7 linked regions of the Callithrix jacchus genome follow. The protein of the gene in region 6 interacts with the protein of the main gene of each other region in a pairwise test. Links are inferred from orthologs where the notes say so. Each region holds a gene or a part of one and is shown on either strand. Other genes may lie near its edges.

Region 1 (4,121 bases), on a different chromosome or scaffold from region 6:
TGATGGCTGGGGGTGTTGCACTTCTGGGTTTTAGGGAGGAGAGAGCTGGAGACCTGGAGTCCCAGGTCCTGGAGAGGAGGGGTCTGGGGGCCGGTGGGAATTTTTTATCTTGGCGAGGAAAGAGTTGGGCAGGGTTTGGGAGTTTTAGGTCTCATTCAAGAGGGAACTGGGTTCTGGGACACTTGAGAGGAGGGGAGGAAGCGGTCGGGGGCGGGGAGAGGGCCGACACCTGAGTCTCAAAGAGGACTGGACTGAGGTATCCAGACTCCTGGGTCTGAAGGAGGAGGGGCCGGAGGCCTGGACTCCCGGGTCTGAGGGAGGAGGGGCCTGGGAATCCGGAGTCCCGGTGCTGAAGTTTGCCATTCTCATGTCCTACTCATCCTCTCCAGGTGGAAATTTGGACTCCCAGGGAGACCCTCTCTCACGTGTGCCGCTCTCTCCGTCGGACCCCACGCGCCAGGAGACCCTTCCCCCCAGATCTCCCCCGGTGGCTAATTCGGCTTCCACCGGGTTCTTTCGCGGAGGCAGTGGGCGTGGAGGAGGCCCCGCCCCCTGGGGGCCCACGTGGGATGCCGGGATCGCCCCTCCGGTCCTGCCCCAAGACGAGGGGGCGTGGCCTTTGCGCGTCACTCTTCTACAGTCCAGCTTTTAACCCTCCCAAATGCGGCAGCCAATTGGAGCGTGAGGACGTGACCGGAGGTACCGCCGCAGAGATGTGGGACCACTCAGGGCATCAGGGGGCGTGGTCTGGTCCCTGTCGCCAGCCCGGGACGGGAATGGTTTCTATGGCCAAAGTTTGGTTTTCTCAACACTGTCTAAATTTGGATTAAAACTTTGAACTTGTAGTCAATAACTTTGTTTCTCTCTGTTGGGGGTTGTGGCGCTGGAGTCTCTGATGGGCAGAGCCGGAGTTGTGGACTCCTGGGTCCTGAGAGAGGAGGGGACAGGGGCCTTGGACTTACAGGTCTCTGAGAGGAAGGGATGGAGAAGCTGATCCCTCAGTCTGAGGGAGGAGGGGCTGGGGGCCTGGACCCCCTGAATCTGAGGGAGGAGGGACTGGGGTCTTAGGGAGGAGGGGAGTGTCTGAGGGAGGAGGGACTGGAGCTCCTGGATTCCTGAGTCTGAGGGAGGAGGGGAGTGTCTGAGGAAGGAGGGCCTGGAGCTCCTGGATTCCTGAGTCTGGGGGAGGAGGCGAGTGTCTGAGGGAGGAGGGACTGGGGACAAACCCAGGTTTCCAGCCTTCCTGGCAACACCCCCCGGGGCCGGACTTCCAGGATCCAGCCCCTGTTGATGGTTTGATGCAACGCTGTCACGGGGCTTTGGAGGTAGACAGAGGCGCAGAGTAGAGAGACGGACAGAGACCGACGGACACGGGATGGCCACGGGAACGCGCTACGCCGGGAAGGTGGTGGTTGTGACCGGGGGCGCGCGCGGCATCGGAGCCGGGATCGTCCGCGCGTTCGGTGAGCGGGGTCTGGCCGCTGGGAGCTGGGGAAGGATGGGGGCTGGGCAATGGCGGCGGAAAATGGAGACCCCAGTAATACAGCTGGGATTCTGACCTTACAAAAGCCCATTTGCAGGCTAAAGTAAGCGCGTGCCGCGGTAGGCTGGGGCTGAGTCTGGCGAGGTCTCGGAGGGCAGTGGCCCCCTTTCTCTGGGTCTGTTAGTGAAGCTGCAATACCAGTGGCTTGGGGAATGGCTCTGGCAGTCGTGGGGCTGGCTCTGGAACCCACGAACGGGGGCTCAGGAGCCTCAGCAGAAACCTGGCCAGGCAGGGAGAGCATGTGTCAAGGGCTCTGCCCTCTGCCCTCTGTCCTGAGGGTGATCATGAGACTGGGGTCACGAGGAGAGGGGAGAGGGAGAGCGACCCCACTCCAGGTGGCCACCAGAGGGCGGCAGAGGCTTGACCCAAGGCTCGGAGGGTCACCTGTTCCCTTCCTATTCTCAGTGGACAGCGGGGCCCAAGTGGTTGTTTGCGACAAGGATGGTGAGTGATGGTCCCTCAGCCCTCACCCCGGCCCTCTTCCCTCAGACCCAGGGGTCCAGGCCCCAGCTGCTCCCTCAGATTCAGGGGGTCCAGGCCTCCAGCCCCTCCTCCCTCAGACCCAGGAGTCCTGGCCCCAGCCCCTCATCCCTCAGATTCAGGGGTCCAGGCCCCAGCCCCTCCTCCCTCAGACCCAGGGGTCCAGACCTCTAGCCCCTCTTCCCTCAGATTCAGGGGTCCAGGCCCCCAGCCCCTCCTCCCTCAGACCCAGGGGTCCAGACCCCTAGCCCCTCCTCCCTCAGATTCAGGGGTCCAGGCCCCCAGCCCCTTCTGCCTCAGACCCAGGGGTCCAGGCTCCCAGCTCTTCTCTCACTGCAGAGTCTGGGGGCCGGGCGCTGGAGCGGGAGCTCCCTGGAGCTGTCTTTATCCTTTGTGACGTGACTCGGGAAGACGACGTGAGGGTGAGCACAGTTCCTGCTCCTGCTCCACGCCTCCACTAATTGCCAGTTCTTTGTTCTCCAGGCATCCGCATATGCCGTTCCCTCTCCTTTTCCTTCCTCTCCTGGCTCCACTGGACCCATCAGAGGTTTCCACCTAGTGTCACTCCACACATAGGTCTTCCGTGATTGGCAAGCAGGTCATGTGTTCCTCATCTCCCACCTCTCCAAGGCTCTTAGCACATCTGACATGTGAATGGAAATGAATAAAAAGTCCCTCAAAGTGGGTCAACTGTAACGGATTTTTCTTTCTCTTTTGTTTTTTTGGAGATGTCACCCAGGCTGGAGTGCAATGGTGTGATATCAATTCACTGCAACTTCCACCTCCCGGGTTCAAGAGATTCTCCTGCCTCAGCCTCCCAAGTAGCTGGGATTGCAGGCGCTTGCCACCATGCCCAGCTTATTTTTATATATTTAGTAGAGACAAGGTTTCACCATATTGGCCAGGCTAGTCTCAAACTCCTGACCTCAGGTAATCTGCTCACCTCTGCCTCCCAAAGGGCCCCCAGCCCCTCCTCCCTCAGACCCAGGATTCCAGGCTCCCAACTCCTCCTGGGTTGGAATTCCAGGTGTGAACCACCGCACCTGGCCTGTAACCGATTTTTCTCCCTTGTTTCTGTTTCTGGGTTCCGATTTCCTCCTTTTCATTTTCTTTCTTTTTTTTTTTTTTTGAGAGGGAGTTTTGCTCTTTGTTGCCCAGGCTGGAGTGTAGGGGTGCCATCTCGGTTCACTGCAACTTGCACCTCCTGGGTTCAAGCCATTCTCCTGTCTCACCCTCCCAAGAAGCTGGGATTACAGGCGCCAGCCACCACAGCTAGCTAATTTTTGTATTTTTAGTAGCAACAGTGTTTCACCATGTTGGCCAGGTTAGTCTCGAACTCCTGACCTCAGGTGATCCACCCACATCAGCCTCCCAAAGTGCTGGGATTACAGGTGTGGGCCACTGTGCCCGGCCCCTATTTCTTCCTTTCAATCAGTATCTCTCTGTTTCCTGCCCCACTTGGGTAACTGTCTCCTACTCTCTATCTGAACCCTTGTCAACCCCCACCCCCTGACCTTGGAATGATGACTGCACTGTGGCTCTGACCAGCTCCCTGTCTCCTTCCTGTCTGCTACTCGCCTGCCATGTCTGCTGATCTCGGCACTCCCTCTTCCTCTAGCTCTTGTCCCCTGAGCTGGGAGTCCAGCTTTCCCCTCCTGCCTTGCATTTGGCAGCCCTGTCTGCCTTATGGCTGGACACCTCATCTACTGCTCATTCAAAGGACATTTCCTGGGTAAGGTGTGGCGCCTGTAATTCCAGCACTTTGGGAGGTTGAGGTGGGCAGATCACCTGAGGTCAGGAGTTCGAGACCAGCCTGGCCAACATGGTGACACCCCCTCTCTACTAAAAAATATAAAAAATTAGCCAGCTGTGGTGATGCCCACCTGTAGTCGCAGCTACTCAGGAGGCTGATGCAGGAGAATCACTTGAACCTGGGAGGCAGAGGTTGCAGTGAACCAAGATCGTGCCACTGCACTCCAGCCTGAGCAATGAGGAAAAAAAAAAAACAAAACCAAAAAACAGAAAACAAGAAAATGAAAAAATCAAAGAAAATTTCCTTCCTCCTCAGACTCTGGTTTCTGAGACCATCCGCCGATTT
Region 2 (3,500 bases), on a different chromosome or scaffold from region 6:
GGCCAGCAGGAGACTCAGGCCAGGGGCAGGAAGCGGGGGTGAGGTAGGCAGAAGCTGGAGACACTAAGGGGGTGCCCTGGGCAGGAGGAACAGAAAGAGGGAGGCAGAGAGGGCAGCCGGCTGGAGAGGGCCGGGCTACGACTGCACGTTGAGCGCGTGGGCAGAGCGCTGGTGGTGCCAGTCTCGGAGGCGGGTGTAGCGTGGGCTCTGCAGCTCCAGGACATACTTTTCCCTGAGGGGCAGAGAGAGAAGGAGGAAGAAGTGGAAGGAAGGAGAGATGGAAGGGACATAGGGAGGGAGGAGGGTAGGAAGGAATGAGGGAAGGAAGGAGCAAGGGAAGGGAGGAAAGAAGGAAGGAAAGAAGGAAGAGGAGGAGGAGGGAGCGAAGGAAGGAAGGAGAATGGAAAGCCCCAGCTGGGAGCCTCAGGAGTAGACATAGGGCAGTAGCTGGAATGGAAGAGGCAGGAGGTGGGAGAAGGGCTAGTGCCCATTCTTGTACCTTGATTTCTTCAGGTGCTCCTCATCCGGGTCTTGCACTGAGAGGGCAGAGACAGGCATTGACCAAGAGAGACAGAAGGTCAGGGTTCACGCCTGGGCTGGAGGCCAGGAGAGTCCACCCTGCCTAGGCTGGCACTTACTGAACTCGGTGCCTGTGAGGTGGGCAAGGATGCGGAAGGAACGCGACTGGCCTGTCCCAGGCCGTGGCCGCCAGTCCTCGGTGTTCTCCATCAGCCGCTGCTTGCTGGCATCTGGGACCAGCGGTCGGAGCGGCTGTCTGTGGGGAGGGTGCGGCTCAGAACCCCATGCTGGGGGTGGGCAGTGGGGGCAGCCCCTCCCAGGATTTGGTGCATGTGGGTTACAGTGATGGGAGGGAGTGGGTAAGGGCAAGGCCAGAAGCCCTGCTAGGCGGGTGGATGAGAGGACAGGAGGGCAAAGTGGAGAGGAGGGCAGCCAGGGTGGGGAGGGGCCACCGCCCAGAGTGCCAAAAGGAAGAAGAGAGGGACAGGCAGAGGGGGCTCACTGACTTGTCAGGGGTCTGCACCTGTGAAGGAAATAGACAGATAGAGAGATAAAGGGACAAAGGGACAGACACAGGAGAGGAAGAAAGATGGGGAGGGGTCAGGGCAGCCGGGGACCAGGCAGCACTGAGTGTCTAGGGCTCAACTGGCCCAACACCATGACCCAACCCCAAGCCGCCAGCAGGGGGTGCGACCTCATTCAGAGACCCCTCCCCAGGGCAGTGCCCTGCAGGGTGCCACAGCCTTGGGAGGGGCCCTGTGCCTGCAGTCCCACCCCGGCCGCCAGGGGTTGCTGCCGCACGGTTCCGCCGGGCTGGGGCACAGCACAGACTGAGCAGCAGCGGGCAGCGGGCAAAGGGCGTGGGGCCACAAGGGGCCTGATGGCATGGGCACGGGCACGGGCGGGCCGGGGCTGACATACCCATTCTGCTGCGGGGCGTTGTCAGCGGGCGGGGGCGCCCCGAAGGGCCGGGCCGTCTTGTTGAGGGAGACGCTGGGTGCAAAGGTGTACCGCGGGGGGTCCGCGGCAGGGGCCGGGGCCTGAGCAGAGACAGAGCCGGGCAGGGCAGGCGGGCAGGGACTTGGGTGGGAGTGGGGCGCCCGCACCAGAAGACAGTGGCAGCTCCAGCCCCCCACACCCCCCACATCTTGCAGGAGACTAGGGGGAGACGACAACTCAGGTTTCAAGGGGCCCATTCAGGAGTGGTGATTTCAGTCCACGCAGGACCGAGGGCTGACCAAGTGCGGGCGAACACGCAGCACCGGCGGCGGGAGGCAGGCAGGCGGACAGACAGGCAAACATGCGTGGTGCCCAGACCGTGCGGCAGCCCCTGGCTCAACTCCAGGGCCCTAGACCCACCCTAGCTCCAGTTTCTGCCCTCTACTTCTGACCAGGGATTGGGGTACCGAGGCTGTGCCAGGAGGGCGAGCAGGTCTGGCTGTCCAAGCCCAACCCGCCCGCTGCCCAGATGTCCCGGCCCGCCTCGTACCTTCTGGGGTTTGCTCTGAACCGGTTGGGCCCTGAAGGAAAAGGAAAGTGTGACAGCGTGGGCCCATGAGAATCCCCATTGCTAGCGACTGTGCACCCATCCACACCAACGCGCATACCTGCTGAGGCCCAGGCTGAGGCGTTCCCCACAGGCCCGGATCTTGTTCTGAGCTTCGATGTGTGTGAGGCTCCCTGCATTCTCGCCATCGATGCTCAGCACCCAGTCACCAACGGCCACTCCAGCCTGTGCTGCTTTGCCTCCAGGAGTGAGCTACAGAGAAAAGCACAGTGACCGAGGTCCTTAGACTCTGCAGACCCAAGCCAGGTGGTAATGCTGCCCCACTTCTAGAGGCCAGAGAGCTCTTCATTCAACATAGTTCTAGGCAGCTGCTGGACACTAAAGCAACCAGGAGGTGGTGGCGCTCACCTGAGCTTCACAATTTCCCATCACACTGCTGATTTATTTACTCTGCACCACGACCCTACCCCACAGTCCAGAAATTCTATGATACCCACAAACAGCCATGCTCAGGCCCATGTGTTTCAGGAGGACCACCTGCCTTTTGAAGCACCTGCTGGCTGCCTGCCCAGGGCTGCTATACTACCAGATATGCCCTCTGGCCCATGCAAGGGGCAGCTTCTTCCCTGCTACCGCTGGGGGCTCTTATGGATCTCTTACCCTCCAGCACCCTATCTGGGGGCCATCTGCAGGGGTCCGCTGGGACACTTTGAGAGCCAGGAACAGGCCCTGTTATCTCCAGGTTCCCCATGAACACTGCCTGAATGGGGCCTAAGGTGACAGCTGGGGCTTCATAGGCCATACATGAGTGTCACTCCCAAGCCTTCAACTGCCAACTCCCCTGACTCCAATCCTTCAGGCTCTGAGCTGGGAGTCCCTGGTTCCAGTGGCAACAAGGGGTGACAATAGGCTGCGAGAAATGGCTGCCACCAGCATGAACTAAGACCATCAGGAATGACTTCAGGGAAGCTAAGAGAGCTCGGTGGCCCCTTCCTCACTCGCTAAATAAGAACACCTCCTTCAGTTTACTGAGCACCAAGTATGCTACACATTGCTGCATCTTCCAACAACCCTGTGGAGTAATCTGAGATTTTACCCATTTTGCACTTGAAAGTGTACACAGAGAGGTTAAACAACTTGACTCAAGTCACCCAGCAAGAGGCAGGGCCAGGAAGTGACCCTGACCCTAAGACTCCACCACTGCAGGCCACCTTTGCTGAGCATGGGGGCCCAACTGAGGGGTCAGCCCACCTCGAGACGCCCTGAGCTTCCCCCTCACATTTAATTCAAGCCAACTAAATCAACCCTTTAAACTGTGCGTGGGGAAGTGACACCCCAGAGGGGAAATGACTTACTCAAGGCCATGGTGAGTCAGTACAAGGGAAACCTGGCCCAGCCACTACCTGCCCACAAGGGCTGGCTCCTGGGAGGTGTGGGCTGAGTCCGAGGTGGGGGTCTTGGGGTGCACAGGAGC
Region 3 (3,500 bases), on a different chromosome or scaffold from region 6:
ATCTCAGGCCATGGAGAACACTGAAAACAAAGGATAAGTTAGATAACGAATAAGCACGTTTGACCCTAGGATTTCACTAACACATTGCTCCTTGAATAGCACATCTTGATTAGTAAATCTTAATTCCTCAGAGACCCTCATAAGCAATAGACAACATTGCTTCTCTTTCCGCCATCTTGAAGCCTGTGGAGGCTTTCTGGGAACAGGACTTCTAAAAGGAAATACGTCTAGAAAGCTGTGGTCCTGGGCCATTTTTGCTGGATATAAGTGGGTTCTCCAGAACCAAAGGCAGCACACAGCTCTTCTTAAAATTGAAGGTGTTTATCCCCAAGATGAAACAGAATTCTATTTGGGCAAGAGATGTGCGTATGTATCAAAGCAAAGAACAACACAGTGACTCCTGGCAGCAAACCAAACAAAACCAGAGTAATCTGGGGAAAGGCCTATGGAAACAGTGGCATGGTTCATGCTAAATTCCAAAGCAACCTTCCTGCTAAGGCTATTGGACACAGAATCTGAGTGATGCTTACCCCTTAAGGATTTAAACTAATGAAAAATCAATAAAAGTAGATTTGTGCTCTTGTTTTTTTAAAAACAAAAACAATACCAAAACAGAGTGAGAGAGAATATTCCTTAGAAGAAGTAAATTTTGACCAGTTTGGAAGTGATTTTCTTCTAAGATTAAAAATTATGAACTGAAACTGTCACCAAGAGAAATCCTGTTACCTCTGTGAGTATGGTCGTCTCATAGGAAGGTTGGTATTTCTCCTTTTCATGAGGTGTTCGTTTCTCCATTTTCTCTCTGTCTGTCTTTTGCTTTCTGTCTGCACCTTTGGGCTGAAATGAGAAATATTTTGTTTTAAACTCAGGTAATCACCTTTTAAGCCAACAATATTACTTCTAAAAACTTAAATATTCACATATGAAACAAAATTGTATGTGCAGGTATGTAAAGGTAAGACACATCAGTTTAAGTCTGAAAATAGGAAATTTACATGTTTGATAGGGTTGAAAAGAATCAGATCTATAGCTACTGACATGGAAATATGTCTAAAGCACACAGTTCACTAAAAAAAACCAAGTCTCAAAACAATTCAAATAGTATAATCCCACTTACGTGTCAAAGAAAATATGTATGTAGCTATGTATGCCTGTGTATAAAAGCACAGAAGGGAACTAAAAGAGCTGGGCGTGGTGGCTCAATCCTGTAACTATCGCACTTTGGGAGGCCAAGGCAGGCAGATCGCCTGAGGTCAGGAGTTCGAGACTAGCCTGGCCAACATGGCAAAACCTCGTCTCTACTAAAAATATAAAAAATTAGCTGAGCATGGTGACACATGCCTGTAGTCCCAGCTACTGGGGAGGCTGCAGCATGAGAATTGCTTGAATTTAAGAGGCAAAGGTTGCAGTGAGCTGAGATTGTGACACTGCACTCCAACACGGGCAACAGAGTGAAATTCCGTCTCAAAAAAAAAAAAAAAAAGAAGAAGAAGAAGAGGGAACTAGAAGAACACATACAAAATTATGACCGTGGTTTCCTCCATCATAAGACGGTGAGGGGGTTCAGCGTAAGAGTAGTAAAGAGAGAATTTCCTCGTTGCTTTGAATACTTCTGTATTATTCAATATCTTACAATGAGAACAAATTAAAAAATTTTTTTAGATGGAGTCTTGCTCTGTCACCCAGGCTAGAGTGCAGTGGTACAATCTCGGCTCACTGCAACTTCCACCTGCCAGGTTCAAGTGATTCTCCTGCCTCAGCCTCCTGAGTATTGGGATTACAGGTGTGTGCCACCATGCCCAGATAATTTTTTGTATTTTTAGTAGAGATGGGGTTTCACTGTGTTAGCCAGGATGGTCTTGATCTCCTGACCTCATGATCTGCCCACCTTGGCCTCCCAAAGTGCTGGGATTACAGGTGTGAGCCACTGCACCCGGACCAAGAACATACTTATCCCTGTGATAAAAATAAATAGGACCCTGGCTGGGGCACAGTGGCTAATATCTATAATCCCAGCACTTTGGGAGGCTGAGGCAGGCAGATCACTTAAGCCCGGGAGTTCAAGACCAGCCTGGGCAACACGGCAAGACCCCCTCTCTCTACAAAAAAATACAAAAATTAGCCCGATGTGGTGGCACATGCCTGTAGTCCCACTGACTGGGGAAGCTGAGGCAGGAGAATCGATTAAGCCCAGAACGTTGAGGCTGTAGTGAGTTGTGATTACGCCACTGCACTCCAGCCTGGGTGACAGACTGAGACCTAGTCTCAAAAATAAATAAATAAATAAGACCAAATAAGAAAAGATCAAGTATGAATGTAACCAAAAATACTCAATTTTTGTAAGCTTTACAAGAGCTTGTAACTTCAACAGGCTTTAAGAGCTTTCAATGAGAACCCATGTTCTTGTCTCTAGCCCTTTTTTCCAAGTTCCTATTATCCCATGATCATTTCCATGTAAATTTCTTTACCAGGCATCTTGGTAATTATTTCAATGACTCTAGCTTAGACATTTTTTCATTTTTTGAGTTTTCAAAAAAAAAAAAAAAGACAAGTTGACTTTCTGACTTCGTAGCTAATGTTAATATAGAATGATAAGGTAAAAGAATCCAAGGGCTAGCACATTGCCCAGGAATACCTTGAAAACTTTGATCTGGCAGCTGGCCGAGTGTAAGTGCTCAGTATATTCCCCGTTTTCATTCTCCTTGAAGGTATCAATTTGCACTCGGAATGGCACCCCCTTTTCTCCACCATGTTTCCTCATAGTGAACTCTGTGCTAATACAGTGCACCTGAAAAGAATGCAACATCAAGGCTTCTGTCCGGCCGGCCAAACCAAATGGCCAAATGGTGGTTTGTTTGTTTTTTAAGCAACTGTTAACAGCAAAACCTTTACTAGGCATTACGAATATCTACAAAAAACACTTTTCCTCTTTTTGATCTTAAAAAACTTCCAATCTGATACAAGAAATACAAAAACTTAAATGATTTACAAATGCAAACAAAATAAATGTACAGATCTAATGCTACCAAAAGTTACTGTGAGGAACTAAATTCATTAACTGCTTCAAAGAACACAGAGTTAGCAAAACAGAAATGATTTCTGTGAGTTAAAGTTTCCTCAATTTCAAGGAAGATCTTAGAAAGAGGAGTCACTACCCAGTCTGGGAACATAGTAAATATGAATGTTCACAGCGATAGTGGAGAAAGAGGTTTGCCTGGCGACTGCATAAAGCCTAACATTAGTGAATTTTTTTTTTTTTTTTTGAGACAAAGTTACATTCTTGTCGCCCAAGGAGGGCAATGGTGCAATCTTGGCTCACTGCAAACTCTGCTTCCCAGATTCAAATGATTCTCCTGTCTCAGCCTCTCAAGTAGCTGGGATTACAGGTGCACACCACCATACCCGGCTAAGTTTGGCATTTTTAGTAGAGACGGGGTTTCGCCAGGTTGGCCAGGCTGGTCTTGAACTCCTGACCTCAGGTGATCTGCTCCACTTAGCCT
Region 4 (4,115 bases), on a different chromosome or scaffold from region 6:
CCTCGGTCTCCCACCGCCCCCCCCCATTTCCCTGGGGCTTAGAGCCGGGCCCTCAGAGCCCCCGCCTCCCCCTACAGCCCTCCCAGACGTGGGCGGGAGTGCAATGCGAACCAGATGGGGCTAGGAGAAACCAAAGGGGGAGACAATGGTGGGTTGCAGAGGGGGGTGCTAAGCTCCTTGAAGGCGCTCTTCCCTCCAGCTCTGCCGTAGGAAGTCACGTCGGAGGCTACCCGACCTCTTACTCATCTCCACTAAACTCTCGGGCGAGGTCCCCTAACAGACAGACGGCCCCAGGAAGGGTATCGTCTTTGTCACAGCCTTGCCACACAAAATGCCCAAGCAGGGCCTCATTCTCAGCAAATAGAGGACAAGTGGAGGAAGGCGGGGTTTCACCCCCGAATCCCTGCCTGACCTACGCGCTGACAAAACTCGACGCGTCTAATCAACTCGCGCACCTAAGTGGTGGCGTGCAGTATAACCCTCCCATCCCTGTTTCCTAAACTTTCCAGATTAGCATGGAGGCCTGGGTTTCCGAAAGCGGACTCCTCAGATTACTCCACTGGGGGCTGGGGAGCGGCGCAGGGATATCTAGGGGATCCCTGCAGAGCCCCACGTCCTCAGGCCCAACTTAAGTGCACACTCTGTGGGAGTCAGATGCACGCACAGGAGGAGCCGCACACCCCAGCCTTCGCCAACTTTTCCCGACTTCTAACATTCACACGTCCAGCACCGCAAGGCCTGAGTGTGAGCAGTGGGCGTCCGCGTAGTTGTTTAGCCGCGTGTGCACGTCCGTGCGCTTCTGTGTCTTTGTGTACTTGTGCGTGGTTGTGAAACTCCGCTCTCAGCTCGGAGGGGTGGGGGAAAGTAGGAATGTCGCCGGCCCGGCACTCACGTGGGTACGTGGGCTCAAGAGGGCCGGCTGCGCATCCGGCGTGGGCGGCACTGAACGACCTCGCCCCGCCTGCTGGGTCCCCAAGCCCGTCCTCCACAGCCGGGCCTCGGTCACCTCGGTCCCTAACTATGCGCCCGGGCTCTGAGTCCCCGCCCCCGCCTCCTGCTCCACACCCCCTCCCCCCAGTCTCCGCCTCTCCCAGTCTGTAAGCCGCGGTGTCTCAGCGGCCGAGAGGCCCCGGTGCCCGCCCCCCGGTCCCCGCCCCCGCCCCCGCCCCCGCCCCCGCCCCCGGCTCTGCCCACGCCCTCCGCCCGCCAGCCCCGCAGCCAGCGCAGAGTCGGGCCTCGCTCCCCGTGCGTCCTGCGGGGGCGGAGGCGCGGAGAGGCGGCAAGCGCAGCCGGGGAGGCGGGGGGGCAGAGGCACAGACAGAGGCTCGGAGGCTCGGAGAGAGAAGACGTGGAGGGAGGGACAGAGCCTGGACAGCGGTGGACACGGCATTTTGCGTGGGGAGGAGCGCAACGCGCAGCAGGCGCCGAGCGCCGGGCACCGAGAAGGGCAGCCCGGGTGGTCTCCGGCAGTCCATGCACAGAGCGCCTTCCCCCACAGCCGAGCAGCCGCCGGGCGGAGGGGACAGCGCCCGCCGGACCCTGCAGCCCAGACTCAAGTTAGTGGGCAAAGGGAGGCAGAGGGGAATGGAGATGGGTGGAGCTGGACTTGGGAATGGGGTCCAGAGGGCGGAGGTCGAGAGGAGGACGTGGGGAAGCGGGTCGGGGGTGGGGGGTGGAGACTGATGGAAAAGGGGGTGCGTCTTCGAATTAGGGGTCCCTGGGAGCAAGCAAGCATCTGATGAAGCGGGATATGAAAGAGTAGTACCTAATTCTCTATTCCCGGTTTACTCTGTGGGGTGGATATGGCACAAGTGCCCCCTCAAAGAATGTGGGAGCCCCCAAGCACCAGGGGATGCCCTGGAGCTTGAGCTGGCATCAGTGCGGAAGGTAGGGGGACGCTCAGCTGCCTCAGTCCGTCGTTGGCACGGCGCGCGAGCCCCCGGGGTCCAGGAGAAGCCAGTGCCTTTGAGTTAAAGGAGCATCAGCGGGAGGGGGGACGGGGTTACGAGGGAGGCCTTAAGCTTTCCTTCCCTTATCTGTCCCTTTATTCACAGAGTGGGGAGAGGAGTTTCAGTGTGCAGCCCCTTTATCAAGAGGCCTTGAGCCGCTCCCCCACTCCACTTGAAGATGCGGGTGGAAAATAAGGGAGAGGAGAGTAGGCGGGAGCCCCTGGGCGGTTTTCGCCCACAGACGCTATCACTGTGGGAGTGTGTGTGGGCGGAACGGCCCTGGAGCAGAACAATTGCGCCCCTCCCCTGCTGCGGCCCCTGAGCTGCAGGAACAGGCCCACAGAGAAAGTGGGGAGTGTCAGTGCTGGGAGAGGGGCCACTGAGGAGAACTGGGCAGCCTGAAAGGGGTGGAGAGGTCCTAGCGGGAGAGAGGAAGCCTGCGTAAAGAATGCTTAACCCGGTCAGGCACGATGGCTTACGCCTGTAATCCCAGCACTTTGGGAGGCCAAGGCAGTTGGATCACGAGGTCACGGAGTTCGAGACCAACCTGACCAACATGGAGAAACCCTGTCTCTACTAAAACTACAAAAATTAGCCAGGCGTGGTGGGGCGCGCCCATAATCCCAGCTACTCAGGAGGCTGAGGCAGAAGAATCGCTTGAACCCAGGAGACAGAGGTTGCAGTGAGCCGAGATCGGGCCACTGCACTCCAGCTTGGGCGACAGAGCGAGACTCCGGCCCACCTCCCCCCCCCGCCCCAAAAAATAAAGAAAAAAGAAAAAGAATGCTTAACCCCGGGAAAAGCTGCACAAGGAGCAAGGCAACACCTGGCTCACTGAGTGGGAAAGCCAGGGAAGGTGACACACCCTCACTCTCAGCCACCTGGTGCTGTGGCCCGTCCACGGGAAGTGAAACTGACCAGCTGTAGTGTCCCTCAGTGTCCACTGTGGGAGAGACAGGGCCCTACATTCACATTAGTATGGGTGACTTCACTTTCATTAGCTTTGAGACTGCCCAGTGTTTAGAGTGGAAGGTGAGGATTGTGTTTTGGGGGAGAGGGAGGTCCAGCCATCCCAGATTGGTGCTGGTCAGGTCTTGCCCCAGACCAGAAAGATAAAAGCCGAAGATGGGGTTGTAAAGAGACTTGCACTCCTGCAGACATGGGCACTGGCTTTTGGTGCTTCAGGCTAGTCTAGGACGGCCCCGGCTTGTCCATGCCTCTGAGCAGTGCCTGATTCTCAGGGTCTGTACTCAGATGTGGGTACTGGGCAGGAGAGCATCCAAATGGGGGGGGGGCGAGAAAAGCAGGCAGAAAAGAGGGAGCAATTGTTAGTGTGGGTGGGTACCCAGTAGGGGGACTTGCACCGACTGCCTCTCTCTTGTGCCCCTCCTTCTCAGGCCCAGTGCCCGAGCCATGGCACTGCCTCGGACGCTGGGGGAGCTGCAGCTGTACCGGGTCCTGCAGCGCGCCAACCTCCTTTCCTACTATGAGACCTTCATCCAGCAGGGAGGGGACGACGTGCAGCAGCTGTGTGAGGCGGGTGAGGAGGAGTTTCTGGAGATCATGGCACTTGTGGGCATGGCCACCAAGCCCCTCCATGTCCGACGCCTGCAGAAGGCACTGAGAGAGTGGGCCACCAATCCAGGGCTCTTCAGTCAACCAGTGCCTGCTGTTCCCGTCTCCAGCATCCCGCTCTTCAAGATCTCTGAGACTGCGGGTACCCGGAAAGGGAGCATGAGCAATGGGCATGGCAGCCCAGGGGAAAAGGCAGGCAGTGCCCGCAGTTTTAGTCCCAAGAGCCCCCTTGAACTTGGAGAGAAGCTATCACCACTGCCTGGGGGACCAGGGGCAGGGGACCCCCGGATCTGGCCAGGCCGGAGCACTCCAGAGTCGGACGTTGGGGCAGGAGGAGAAGAGGAGGCTGGCTCGCCCCCCTTCTCCCCCCCTACAGGGGGAGGAGTCCCTGAGGGGACTGGGGCTGGGGGGCTGGCAGCAGGTGGGACTGGGGGTAGTCCAGATCGACTGGAGCCAGAGATGGTACGCATGGTGGTGGAAAGTGTGGAGAGGATCTTCCGGAGCTTCCCAAGGGGGGATGCTGGGGAGGTCACATCCCTGCTAAAGCTGAATAAGAAGCTGGCACGGAGCGTGGGGCACATCTTTGAGATG
Region 5 (4,288 bases), on a different chromosome or scaffold from region 6:
GCCTGGCCCTTGTCCAAGGCCCTCTGCACATCCAGCCCCTCTGGCAGTGGCTGTGGCCGCTGTGTGCTGGGCACTGTTGGGGGTGCTGTGGCAGGCGGCAATGGGCTGTGCCAAGGGGTGAGCTGGGGGAAAGCAGAGTTAGGGCCTGGCATTGGCGGGAGGCCCCTGCTGCCCCATCCCCATCCTCATGGCACAGCCCCCATGAGGTCAACCCTGGTGGCACCTCACACCCAGTCATGCCCATCACTGTCCTTGCTGTCTGGCAGGGTGGGGACACCCAGTAGCTTTGGCCAAGCACAGGCTGCGGGTGCCCGAGGAGGCAGCCAGGGTGGTGTCGGCTCTCACCCGAGGGGGCCACAGGGGCTGCGTCTTCTGGTTCTTCCCACGGGTCCTGGAAGGAGCCAGAGAATGTTGGTGCCTTGGGGAAACAGGAGGGGCCGGACCCCATTGCCTCCCGGAGCCCCGAGGAGAGGTGGCGCTCACCCAGGAGCCCAGCAGCTGGGAGTGAGCCTCCTGCACACTGTGGACAAAGTCTCTCCCTTTAGACTGGAGCAGGAACTGACACCTGCAGATGCCCCCAGATGTAGGCTGGGGCTACGAGCCTCCTGTCAGCTTCAGCCCTCAGAGCCCCTGGGGCCAGGGTTGGGCCCCTCCTCCCACTGCCCTGCAGTGCCTGTGGGCATGGGCTGGGGGGGCTGCTTTGGAGACGCCTCGTGGGCCTTCAGGGTATTTCCGTGGGAGAGGAATTTCTGCCCTCAGCAGCCCTTCCCAAAAGGGGCCCTCACAGGAAAAGTGGGTACCTGCCGGGCAGAAGCACCATCCACAGAGGGGCCTTCCCAGTGCCCTGTGGGGCCAGGGAGGCAAAGCAGGCCTGGGGTTGGGTTGACAGAGCCCTTCGGGGCCCACCATGACCCGTGATCAGACCCAGGGTGCCGGGAGCAGCCAGTACCTGGGGAACCATTTGGCATGCTCTGTCCAGGGATCGTCCCCGCACTTCCAGCTCTGCAGGCCCCCATAGCAGAAGAAGCACCTCACCTTGTCCTGTTGGCCTGGGTTGTGACAGAGATACTGGCACTAGCCAGGCCCCACCCAGCCCCAGGACCCCCGCTTCGTCCTTCCAAGGTTATGAGAGCTTGGGGTGGAGGGGTGGGGAGCTCCCAGGTCGTATCAGGGAGGAGGGGTGGGCAGGGGCTTGGCGGGTGATGTCACATGCACACCATTTGCATCAAAAGTGAAGGGGACAAGACTGTCTGGGTGCCAGGCAGGACGGGTGAGAAGGTTCAGGAAAGGACTGAGCTGGCATTTGCATTGTCCACAGAGTGAGCGGTGGGGGCCCCCCAAGGCCTGGCACATCTATAGCCCTGGGGCTTCGGGAGTCAGAAGGGCCCCTCCCCAGGTCTCTGCTTCCCAGAATGGATTACAAGTGAGCAGAAGGGGGCGGCTACCCTAGAAGGCCAATCTGGTGCCAGGCTTGGTTTTAGGAACTCATGCCTTCCTTTGGGGGTGGGAAACCCCTCACTGCTCTACCTCCTGGCAGCTCCATCCCCTCATGGCAGACATGGGATATGTCACCTGGCACTGCCATCACAGGTCTGGGCTGCAGCAGGCGCTGGACCTCTGGACCCCCAAAGAGCCCTGCTCTGCAGCTGCTATACCTTCGGCCCGGCCTTCGCCTGCTGAGCCTTGGACCTCCGGGGAGGTGGGTGAGCTGGGCCGGCCCCTTCACGATGAGGCTCCTGACTGTCTCAGCCACGGTCCCCACCCCCAGCTGTCTCATGTTGGTCTGGCCTTCCCAGGACGGTGCCCCCCAGAGCCCATTGCTGACGATGACCAAGGCTGTGCCAGTACTTGTCCCTCAGCCAGGAAGGGGCAGAGCTAAGACCTGAACTCAGGTCTGACCACGTGGTCCCAGATGTAGGGCCGAGGAGCAGGCCCAGGCCAAGACTAAGATAGGGGCTCTGGGCGCTTGGTTCCGTCGGGGAAGACCAGACAGTGGCTGTGGGCTGGGGCCTGGAGAAATTCCCCACAGACTGAGTGGCCAGGACCTCGCAGCTGAGCACTGCCTGCCTCGGTCACCCTGATCTGTTCCTTAAACATCTCACCCCATGCAGACCAGCGGTGGGGGGAAGGTGAGGGCCCCAGGCAATGTCAGCCCCTCCCACTTATATCACAAAGGGGTACTTGCACGCCCAGGTAGCAGCCTCCACAGCTGAGACTCCCAGACTGTGGCCAGAGGCAGCCCCTCCTCCTGTCCCACAGTCTAACAACTAGGCCAGCAGAGACTCTGGGGGAAAGTGTCAGGCACCAGGACATGGCCACTGAAGGGGCTTACAAGACCATTCAGTCATCAGGCCGGACCCTTCCCTCTAGGGTATGGGTGCCACGAAGGAGGCAGAACCCTGGGCTGGAAGAGTCCAGAATCATGCCCAGGGCCTCAGCAGGAAAGCCCCATACCCCAGGACTGACCTGTGTGGAAGAAGCCGGCAGCGGCCAGCAGCTCGGGCGGCACCCCAGCGGTCAGTGGCCAGTCATAGAAGGAGGCCAGACGCAGCTCCTCAGAGCCCATGCCGGGGAAGGCAGGACCCCTGGGCGAGGTGGCCCCGGCGCCATCCTCCTCTTCCTCCGCTGCCAGGGGCCGAAGCTGGCCCAGAATCTGCCCATCCACGTGGTCCCAGGCTCTGAAGGTGTCCAGGCCCAGGACAGGGCAGCACAGAGTGTGGGGGCCACGGTGCTCCTCGGGGCTCGGCTCCGGCCCACGGTGCAGGCACTTGGCACTGTCTTCAGGCCCCATGGAGGGAATGGCAGCTCTGGCCAGCTCTGCAGCAGCAGTGGGGCAGATGGCCAGTCCCAGAGGATGCCTGGCTGCCCTTCTGGAGCTCCTGATCCCCGCACCCACCCGGGGACAGCAGGGATAGGCACGGCGTTGCCACCAGTCACCCTGGGTGGGGAATATCCTGGGGCCTACTGCTTTCTGGAAGAGCCCAGGGTGGCCTCTGGGATCGCATGCTCTGTGCATCGGGGGCGTGTCATGGGGCCCCTGGCAGGGTCTCAGATTCCGCTCACTGCACGTGGGCAGGCAGTGTCTCTCCAAACCAGAGGGGAGGGAACTGAGCATGGAGACCCTCCCCCAGGCTGGTGCCTGCCCCGGGCTGTGGGGGACCGGTTGGGGAGCCAGAGATGATGGCTCTGGGGTCAGGCGCCCAGGGCAGCCTCTGGAAGCAGAGAAGGCTCAAGTAAGAATGGATGGACTGTGCGGCCGACCAGGCCGGGGCTGTGAGCCCCCACCTTTCCGGGGTGACTCTGGCCGCACAGGGCCTAGTGCCGTGTCATTCGGGGCTGGAGCGGGAGGCAGGTTACCCGGGTGTTCTCTGAAACATCCTCTGTCCCACGGGGCCTCCACAGGTCTCGGAGCAGCTCTTTTCCTCAGGCCATGAAGATCAGAGCAGACAAAAAGGCCTGTGCTGCGCTCCCCTCCCCCGGCCCCTTCCCATCCCTTTCTCCCCCTCCTTCCCCCACCTCCCTCCACTTCCCCCACCTCCCTCCACTTCCCCCACCTCCCTCCACTTCCCCTACCTCCCTCCACTTCCCCATCTCCCTCCACTTCCCCCCACCTCCCTCCACTTCCCCCCACCTCCCTCTACTTCACCCCACCTCCCTCCACTTCCCCCCACCTTCCTCCACTTCCTTCCATCTCCCTCCACTTCCTCCCACCTCCCTCCACTTCCCCCACCTCCCTCCACTTCCCCCACCTCCCTCCACTTCCCCCACCCCCCATCTCCCTCCACTTCCTCTTATCTCCCTTCACTTCCCCCATCTCTCCAGTTCCCTCTGTACCAGCCTCCCCAGATAGCCAGGAGAGAGGCTCTGATGTCCCCAAGAGAGGTGCATCAGTGTGGGCACTGGGATTGGAGCTCTGAGGTTGGCTGTGACTCGAACCCCTGGTCCAAGCTCCACAGCTGCGCCATGCTGCACAACTCCCAGCGAGGGAGCAGGGAGGGGGACTTGACCCCAGAGAAGCCCAGGGGTGGAACAGGAACCCCAGGGACACCTGGGCGGGACAGAGAGAACAGATGGATGGGCCCAAGCCTCACCACTCCCCAACCCCCTACTGAGCCCTCAACCCCGGCAGCTCATCCATCTAGCTGGCCCTAAGAGTCCCCTGTCATCGTTCAGCCTCTCTCCCCTGCTGCTCATCCTGGAAGGGGTGTGCAAGGTCACAGAGTTAAAGGAAACGAGAGGAGTCGCAAACTATGGGGCTGCTGGTTGCTGCAGGGAACACAAGCAAGCA
Region 6 (3,564 bases):
GTCCCGGCTTTGACAGATTTTGTTCGGTGAGAACTTTTGAGATGGATGGGGTGAGGGTGTGTACTGTGAGGTGTGACTTGCTGGGCCGTCTAAGGCTTGTGCCTGAGGGGGTGGTTTCCTTTGGGTAAATCTTTGAGTAATCCCTTTCCCCCACCCATCTATCTTGCAGTTCTGTGCACCCGTATGAAGTGGCAGAGGTGATTGCATTGCCTGTGGAACAGGGGAATTTTCCATACCTGCAGTGGGTACATCAGGTCACAGAGTTAGTTTCTGACTCTAGCACAGTCCTGCCATGATGAACCCTGTTCTGCCATGATCCCCCACGATATTTCAATGTCTTCTGACTTCCAGGTGATGACTGGGCCCCCAATAAATCCTGTTGGTTCTCTCTGCCTTTTGCCTGTTTTGTCCTTGTCATGTATGCAAATTTGTTGGGAGTGTATAAGTGCTTTAAGTCCCTGTACTCTCTACATCTTTCAGAATGACTCAGAGCTGCTAGATTTGTTTATTTCTCTTTATTTCAATCATACAGAGTCTGGGTTCCCTTATCATCCTCCCTCCTCAGTCTCTGCCCCCAGGGGTTAAATAATTTTAAAAAATATTTAAAAAGCTGTAACAAAATAACGTCAAAGGAAATGGGAAGAAGGATGGGGGGGTCAGGAATCATGAAGGATGGTAGAGAAGAGAGCCTCTTCCCCACCCCCCACTCTTGGATTCCAGCCTGGGCAGCAGGGAGAACTACCCCCTATCTCTCCAGGTACATCCCAGCTGTAGGTGAGGTCAGAGGTCAGGGTATGAAAGTGCCGGTGTATGTGAATGGGGAGGTGGGCAGAGGCAGGCTGTTCAGAAGATGCCGCCTCCCCCCCACTCAACCAGGTACTGCACAGAGCCATCAGGTCGTACTCTCCGAGCAAGGACCCGGACAGGGTCCCCTCGGGACAAGTAGCCAACCCCACCTCGGACTCCTCCCCCAGTCCCAGGAGACAAACTACGGCACAGAGGAGAAGAGGGTGCTGAGCGTCTAGGAAGACCTGGGGATGGGGATGAGACTGAGGATGATGAGGCAGTCATCGAGTGGGGGGCACTTTTAGGGATGTCTGTGGGGAAACCAATGTGAAGTTCCAGGGGTGACCTAAGGAGAGAAGGCAATCGTAAGAAACAGGCAGAAATGGAGAGCACATGTGAATCAGAGAAACAGAAAGAGTTAAGAGATTAAGAGCCTTGAGCACATAGAGGGGAAGAGGAGCATCACTGGTAATAGAGGACAGCATCTCACCTGTCTGGGGGTTCACCGTCCCCAGAGGTCCCTGCGGTGCTGGCAGAGGGGTGGAAGGAAGCAAACATCCGGATGGGGCTGCTGGGGTCAGAGGGGGGAAAGTCAGGACCTGAAGCAGGGTAACAGGACCTTCTCCCTCTAGGAAGTACAGAGCTCAAACATTACCCCCAAGGGACTCCCTTCCCCTGAATACTGGCTACCAGACACTAGCTCTAGAAGTTGGTCTAGGACAAGAAGTGGGTAGCCAAGGGGGAGACGGAAAAGAATTCTGGGTGAGAAAGTCCAGAAGATATGAATAAATGGGAGTGTATTTTTGGGGGGAAGGGGCAGAGGAGCACTGACCTGGGCAGGCAGCGGGCATCTGTGGGCCGGAAGTTGTAGCCGCTGCTGCCCTGGTAACTCTGGTTAGGGCTGGGGGGTGGCGGAGACACTGAGGCCTAGAAGAGGGGGCAAAGGACTGAGAGATAATTCTTGACTCCTTCCCACACCCCACCATTTGCTCCATAGGGTTCCCCCTTCCCCTGTACCTGCAGTGCCCTCTGCAGATGAGCCCGCTCCCTCTGCTCCCGGGGCTCGGGCTGATTGCGCACTGCTGAGGGTGGCCCCAGCTCCTCCACTTTCCCCTTCTGCCTCCTCCTCAGGGGCTCTGGCTCCGGCCTCCGGCGCTTCCCCAGGGGACGTGAGACCCCTCCCCCAGGGCCCTGCCCTGAAGGGAAGCTGTAAGAGGCCTCCTTATCCCCCCAGCCCCCTCCCGGACACCCCAAAGACCTCCCCATCTCTATACATAAATTCCCCAGACTAACACCCTGAGAATTTCCCCCATCCCCCCTGGACCAGTGACCTGGTGAATACTCCATCTCCAGTAGGGGGCTCCACAGGGGGAGGCATCCGAGCATGAAGACCAAACAAACATTTCCTCTTCTTAATCTCTCTCCCTGAAATGAAACTGGGGCAAGAAGATAAATGATACAGTCATTGCTGTAAAAAAGGTCCCCCCTTACACCATTCCTAAATCCTTTTCAGTCACAGTCTTCCAGATGGGTTACAAACGGCTCCCATTCCAGGCTTCCAATCTCCATCTCTTTCCAAGCCTCACCCTTGCCTCCTCTTCCCTCCAACTCACCGGTCCTTGTGGCTGTTGAGAGCAGAGAGGAGCTTGGAAGAACGTTCTCCTTTGGGGGTATCTGAAAGCTGGGAGAAGGAAAGAAAATGGGGCCAGGGGAGCAGTGATTTCTTCTCTTCCCCTTTCCAATACATCTTCCTGTCCCATCCCAACTCCCAAAAGTCACTACCCCTTACCTCCCCCAGGAGCAAACTGTCCCAATTTTCAGAAGTGAAGGGGAGGATCTCACGGTCAAAATCAAAGTATTTCTTCTTACAGCAAACGCTGAGGTGATAAAGGACAAGATGGGCCACATCCACCCTGGAGAAAGAGTTTTCAAGACCACAGAGGCATTTTAAGAGCCAGAGGAGTCCTGAGGTGGGAGGTTGGGGCATACAGAGTGAAATGCTGGGGGTGCAGAGTTACACTGAGGTCATGACCAATCCAGCTCACCAGCGAAGCTGTAGTCTCCGGACTTTCTCAGGGCCCCCGCGACACACACAGCATTCAAATTCATAGAACCTGGACGTGGACAAGAGGGAGAACACACACCTTACACAGAAAAACTATGCCGTCTCCTGGAGGACTCACAAGCAAGGATGGGGTGAACAGGTGAGGTAACCCTGCAGAGGTTGGGAAGAGATTGGAGTGGAGAAGGGCGTGGGGGAACTGAGGGTGGAGCACAAAGACAGAGCATCATTGGCTCCTGGAGAGTCTCACCTGTCCCCATAGAGGAGGGGCTTGCTCAGACACTGGGTGCAGGCCTCATGGAACCACTGCAGGCAGCTCCGGCACTGCAGCATTTTCAGGTTCCACCTAAGGGGAAACAGAGGACTTCTGGCCTCTCGACTCACTGCAACCATCCCTATATCTGTCCCAAACCTGCTTATCACTTACTTCACAACCCCCTGAGTGCTACCCTCACTGTTCTTTCTCCTTCATTTCCTGGGGTCCACCCCGCCATCATTCATTGCACAGTCTGCTCCCCCTCATTACTCACTCCCCAGGGCCACCACAGTAACAGTAGCTCTGCTGTCGATTGCTCAGATGTCCAGCATCCCAGTCCAGCCCCTTCAGTCCATATGGCAGAGAGAGCTTCATACCCAGCATGGCCCGGGCATAGGGGCCCTTCTTCAGGGCACCGCCCCTCTGCAGAGATAGAACAGGTGGGTGGCCTCAGCGGGGT
Region 7 (4,295 bases), on a different chromosome or scaffold from region 6:
TTCAGAGTTTCTGCTTCCAGTTCTGGTTTACCTTTTGAAAAGCATGTATTTTTCTTTCAGCCATTCCCACACTGCCCTTCTTAATCAGGCTTAGACTGGGTAAATATGTGTATTAAGTAGAAAGAGGATGAAATGGGTCTAATTATTTTTCACTGTAAGAACTGCAGTATATTTTCAATACATATTAATGGATCACAGGATAAAATGTACCAGATCACTAGACTTTCAGGCCAAATAACATAACACAGCCATGAACTCACATAAAACATCAATCCCACAGTCCTAAACTCAGAAGCCACCTCTTTTGGGTAAGAAAAAAAATCTTAGAAGCATTTAAATTGCCTAAAATGTAAGAATGTCTACACCATCATATTCTGGAAATAATCCATTGGCAGCAAAGCAGATCAAAAGATTTAGATGCACAGAGTGGCAAGTCAAGGCTGAAGTCACAAGTCACGACAAGAGGAAACATTTTAGAATTTACTTGAAATCTTTGAAATAGACATCTTAAACTGTTCAATTGTTTTGACTAGGCAAGCAGGAGTGAGAAGGAACATGGAACTTTTCTGCTCTGCCTTGTTTTCTCTTGTTCTTTTACCATGGGAAAAACAGACCTGAAACCCAAATGAGGGAGTAATATGCAAAAAATACACACAAATAGTTACATAGGCCTACACTACATCCACTTTAAAGCACTATGATTTAAACTACTCTTTTAAATAATGACAAACTAGTCATAAAGTATAGGAAGAATTCAGTTTTGCACATAACATTTATAGGGTGCTTACTATATGCCAGGCCCTGTTCAAATGGTTTACATATGACTCCACAACCTCTAATCCACAATTCCAAAATCTAAACGCTCTAAAAGCCTACAGTGGTGAGTCTGGGAGGAGGGCAGTGCAAACTCACTGGGTGGCAAAACCTGATATGAAGTGATGTTAAACTATTTATAGTTTTAACTTATCCCACTTAGTGTATTATTCATGTTTCATTGCAAAAATATTAATGTGCTTAATTACTATGTGCTACCTTAGACCTCACTATATTATGTTACCAATGCGTTATGTACTATGTTGTCTTTTACAATCTGAAAGAGGCCAGGCGGGGTGGCTGCTCACACCTGTAATCCAGCACTTTGGGAGGCCAAGGTGGGAGAATCACTTGAGGCCAGGAGTTCAGACCAGCCTGGCCAACATGGCGAAACCCCATCTCTGCTAAAAACACAAAAATTAGCCGGGCATAGCGGTTCGCCCCTGTAGTCCCAGCTACTAACGAGGCCGAGGCCAGAGAATTGCTTGAACCTGGGAGGTGGAGGTTGCAGTGAGCTAACTGCATTCCAGCATGGGCCACAGAAACAGACTGCCTCAGTCAATTATCAATCAGTATAAAATCTGAAAGATTTTTAGGCACATCTGGCCCCAAGGATTTCAGATAAGCAACTGTAAACCTGTATTTACCCAATTACCCTGACCACAACCCTGTAAGATAGGAACTATTTTGCAAATAAGGAAACTGAGGGTAAAGGAACAGGTCCAAAATCAAAACAGCTGGTGTTAGAGCTTGATTTGAACTCAGGCAGTTCAACAAAGCCTGGGCTCTTAACTACTATTCTACACAGCTTTTTTTCCTATATCATGCAGATTAAAGACTTTTAATTTTTATAGCCATAATTACTGAAAACATTAGTGCAGGGCACCATTTAAAAAACCATTTAAAATAGATTGCAGAGAAAAAATATTAAGTATTACAGTCTAGGAGAATATAGACTTTGGGCAAACGGATTCCAGTATTTTTTAAAAAGGCAGTATCCACGCAGCATATTCCAGATTCAGGTTCTTTTTACATCACTTAAAGATTTTAAATTTTTTTTAGCCATAATTACCAAAAACATTAGTGCAGGGCACCATTTAAAAAACCATTTAAAATAAGACTTCAGAGAAAAAAATATTAAGTATTACAGTTTAGGAGAATATAGACTTGGCAAACGGATTCCATTATTTTATAGAAAGGCAATATTCACGCAGATTCGGGTTTTGGAGAAGTTGCGGGGCTTGAGGTGACTCTGTCACACCTGGTTTTCCGTACCAAGGAGGCACTGGCAACGCTGTGGACAAGAATACTTAAGCACGAGCTTTTTGCCATTGCTCCATCAACACAGGGTGGGTATTTCAGGGGAATTACTATTAATTCCACAGTTATTTTTAAAAAGTTACAATGTTGGCCGGGCGTGGTGGCTCAAGCCTGTAATCCCAGCACCTTGGGAGGCCGAGGCGGGTGGATCACGAGGTCAAGAGATCGAGACCATCCTGGTCAACATGGTGAAACCCCGTCTCTACTAAAAATACAAAAAATTAGCTGGGCACGGTGGTGCGTGCCTGTAATCCCAGCTGCTCAGGAGGCTGAGGCAAGAGAATTGCCTGAACCCAGGAGGCGGAGGTTGCGGTGAGCCGAGATCGCGCCATTGCACTCCAGCCTGGGTAACAAGAGTGAAACTCAGTCTCAAAAAAAAAAAAAAAAAAGTTACGATGAGTAAATATAATAGAAGTCACAGCCCCAGGAGGGAGAGTTTTTCGCCACGTCTTTCTCTAGCCTTTCCCTGGAAGCCCCAGTTCAGGCATTGGTCACCTGAAATGTCACCCTCTCACCTTTCCCCATCCCATCTGAGGAAGTTTAACAGATCTCTTACAGGTAGGGTGGTTCTCGGTGCCCTTGCACTTCCAACAGCAGGTTTGGGCCCAGACGACTCACCTGGCTCTGCATCATAATGGCGGCCGGCGTGGGCCGCGCGACCGGAAGTGCGGACACACAAGGTCGCGCACCTGACTCAGCTTCCCCCACCTCACTTCCCCACGCCGAGGACTCAGCTGCAACCGGGCTCAGTCAGACGAAGGCGAAAGAGGAGATGCGGGCCCCGGGAGGATGAGACCCACCTGAGCAAAACAGGAAGCATTCCAGGAAGACTGCGGGGGTGGGAGAATGCAATTAAAATGGAAAGGCAGTGACTGGCAGCGAAAGTTCACAGAAACAGAAGATAACACACCAGAAACCCGCATTCTGGAGCTGCCACGGTTGAGGGTGAAAAGAGAGTGAATGAGCTGAGAAAAACCTGCGAGGCTCCAGGATGCTACCAGTGCAACAAAACTAAGGGCTAAGGTGAAAAGCGATGGAAACCTGGAGAGGCAGGGAAGAAGGAAATAGAGTGTAATGTTTTATTTCATGGTTTGGGTTAATTTTGCCCGTATCACCAAAGGGAACAGCTAGCATGGGCAAGGGCCAAGAAATACTGTTTAGCAAGACTCTCTATACAAAAAGAAACAACAAAATAAAAAATAGGCTGACGCCTGTAATCCCAGCACTTGGGGAAGCCGAGGTGGACAGATTGCAAGGTTAGGAGATCGAGACCATTCTGGCTAACACGGTGGAACCCTGTCTCCACTAAAAATACAAAAAATTAGCCAGGGGTGGTGGCAGGTGACTGTAGTCCCAGCTATTTGGGAGGCTGAGGCAGGAGAATCGCTTGAACCGGGGAGGCGGGGTGTGCAGTAAGCTGAGATCGCGCAACGGCACTCCAGCATGGGTAACAGGGCGAGGCTTCATCTCAAAAAAATAAATTATAAAGTTATTTCTGATATGGTATTAAGAGAATCCACAAATAAAAAGTATTGATGGCAGATAAATCAGAACATTACTTTTTCTATTTTTAATTTTTTGGAGGGTTTGTCTTTCAGATTGAACAGTAAGGAAACATGTTGATACTACCCAGTGTCTGTAACAGAGGAAGTTAGGCAGTATTAGAGAAAAAAAAAATGAATCACTGGAGATAGCGGAAGGGATCTACAACCTTATCCATCTTCTTGACTGTACAGTCTCCGGAGCGTTTCCATTAATGGGCGAGAAACATCCCAGTGCATTGTACACCTGTTATTTGTAAACTCCTGTGACATGAATAATGCTTTCCTCACAATCTGTTCTACTGAACTTTACTTTTTTCTAATAATTCTGCCAAGTTTGAGATTTGCAATTTTAGCTACCATGATGTTCCATTGCTTTTCCTACGAAGGTTAAAAATTCCCATACAGACTGCTGAAAATCAAGAAGAAACAATGATACACTGCACTAGACCCATTATAAGTTTAAAACAGTGTTTAGGAGCAAGTGAGAGAAAAAAATTTTAACTGCAGCTTTGTAGATCGTACACAAACCTCACATTTGTGCATCCCCTGGCACTCAAAGTTATTTGATCAATATGGTTAATGTTAAAAATGAACAATTATGGCCACTATCAAAAAACA

What was found.
Region 1: the proteins of PHF1 (region 6) and HSD17B14 interact in binary tests that used the Homo sapiens proteins (3 or more experiments, as listed by UniProt). The two-hybrid records come from large-scale screens. The link is inferred for Callithrix jacchus from reciprocal best matches to the Homo sapiens genes PHF1 and HSD17B14.
Region 2: the proteins of PHF1 (region 6) and PDLIM7 interact in binary tests that used the Homo sapiens proteins (3 or more experiments, as listed by UniProt). The two-hybrid records come from large-scale screens. The link is inferred for Callithrix jacchus from reciprocal best matches to the Homo sapiens genes PHF1 and PDLIM7.
Region 3: the proteins of PHF1 (region 6) and TFCP2 interact in binary tests that used the Homo sapiens proteins (3 or more experiments, as listed by UniProt). The two-hybrid records come from large-scale screens. The link is inferred for Callithrix jacchus from reciprocal best matches to the Homo sapiens genes PHF1 and TFCP2.
Region 4: the proteins of PHF1 (region 6) and NAB2 interact in binary tests that used the Homo sapiens proteins (3 or more experiments, as listed by UniProt). The two-hybrid records come from large-scale screens. The link is inferred for Callithrix jacchus from reciprocal best matches to the Homo sapiens genes PHF1 and NAB2.
Region 5: the proteins of PHF1 (region 6) and BIRC7 interact in binary tests that used the Homo sapiens proteins (3 or more experiments, as listed by UniProt). The two-hybrid records come from large-scale screens. The link is inferred for Callithrix jacchus from reciprocal best matches to the Homo sapiens genes PHF1 and BIRC7.
Region 7: the proteins of PHF1 (region 6) and RBPMS interact in binary tests that used the Homo sapiens proteins (3 or more experiments, as listed by UniProt). The two-hybrid records come from large-scale screens. The link is inferred for Callithrix jacchus from reciprocal best matches to the Homo sapiens genes PHF1 and RBPMS.

Annotation. Positions count from the first base shown.
Region 1 is NC_133523.1:42,680,588-42,684,708, reverse strand, and holds the start of HSD17B14 (L-fucose dehydrogenase), read left to right. Parts: upstream 1-1,321; 5' UTR 1,322-1,375; coding exon 1,376-1,463; intron 1,464-1,948; coding exon 1,949-1,987; intron 1,988-2,362; coding exon 2,363-2,445; intron 2,446-4,091; coding exon 4,092-4,121. Other genes in the region: PLEKHA4 (pleckstrin homology domain-containing family A member 4), read left to right, coding at 390-652. UniProt on the Homo sapiens protein: Catalyzes the NAD(+)-dependent oxidation of L-fucose, yielding L-fucono-1,5-lactone, which rapidly converts spontaneously to L-fucone-1,4-lactone. Can also act on D-arabinose and L-galactose, with lower catalytic efficiency. Does not use NADPH.
Region 2 is NC_133503.1:68,644,111-68,647,610, reverse strand, and holds part of PDLIM7 (PDZ and LIM domain protein 7), read right to left. Parts: intron 2,279-3,500; coding exon 2,127-2,278; intron 2,040-2,126; coding exon 2,009-2,039; intron 1,560-2,008; coding exon 1,441-1,559; intron 1,043-1,440; coding exon 1,022-1,042; intron 776-1,021; coding exon 639-775; intron 563-638; coding exon of another isoform or gene 537-562; coding exon 500-536; intron 233-499; coding exon of another isoform or gene 136-232; exon of another isoform or gene 1-135. UniProt on the Homo sapiens protein: May function as a scaffold on which the coordinated assembly of proteins can occur. May play a role as an adapter that, via its PDZ domain, localizes LIM-binding proteins to actin filaments of both skeletal muscle and nonmuscle tissues.
Region 3 is NC_133510.1:68,329,868-68,333,367, reverse strand, and holds part of TFCP2 (alpha-globin transcription factor CP2), read right to left. Parts: intron 2,789-3,500; coding exon 2,636-2,788; intron 838-2,635; coding exon 727-837; intron 21-726; coding exon 1-20.
Region 4 is NC_133510.1:62,623,425-62,627,539, reverse strand, and holds the start of NAB2 (NGFI-A-binding protein 2), read left to right. Parts: upstream 1-1,315; 5' UTR 1,316-1,473; coding exon 1,474-1,556; intron 1,557-3,346; coding exon 3,347-4,115. UniProt on the Homo sapiens protein: Acts as a transcriptional repressor for zinc finger transcription factors EGR1 and EGR2. Isoform 2 lacks repression ability.
Region 5 is NC_133506.1:58,738,001-58,742,288, reverse strand, and holds the start of BIRC7 (baculoviral IAP repeat-containing protein 7), read right to left. Parts: upstream 2,801-4,288; 5' UTR 2,792-2,800; coding exon 2,467-2,791; intron 2,118-2,466; exon of another isoform or gene 1,573-2,117; intron 1,050-1,572; coding exon 950-1,049; intron 566-949; coding exon 484-565; intron 392-483; coding exon 346-391; intron 123-345; exon of another isoform or gene 1-122.
Region 6 is NC_133505.1:41,647,669-41,651,232, reverse strand, and holds the end of PHF1 (PHD finger protein 1), read right to left. Parts: intron 3,528-3,564; coding exon 3,379-3,527; intron 3,195-3,378; coding exon 3,099-3,194; intron 2,901-3,098; coding exon 2,832-2,900; intron 2,700-2,831; coding exon 2,576-2,699; intron 2,468-2,575; coding exon 2,400-2,467; intron 2,223-2,399; coding exon 2,118-2,222; intron 1,994-2,117; coding exon 1,804-1,993; intron 1,714-1,803; coding exon 1,619-1,713; intron 1,358-1,618; coding exon 1,277-1,357; intron 1,133-1,276; coding exon 844-1,132; 3' UTR 501-843; downstream 1-500. Other genes in the region: protein CutA, read left to right, coding at 1-26, 170-296. UniProt on the Homo sapiens protein: Polycomb group (PcG) that specifically binds histone H3 trimethylated at 'Lys-36' (H3K36me3) and recruits the PRC2 complex. Involved in DNA damage response and is recruited at double-strand breaks (DSBs).
Region 7 is NC_133514.1:31,589,899-31,594,193, reverse strand, and holds the start of RBPMS (RNA-binding protein with multiple splicing), read right to left. Parts: upstream 2,801-4,295; 5' UTR 2,767-2,800; coding exon of another isoform or gene 2,752-2,766; 5' UTR 2,664-2,751; coding exon 2,649-2,663; intron 1-2,648.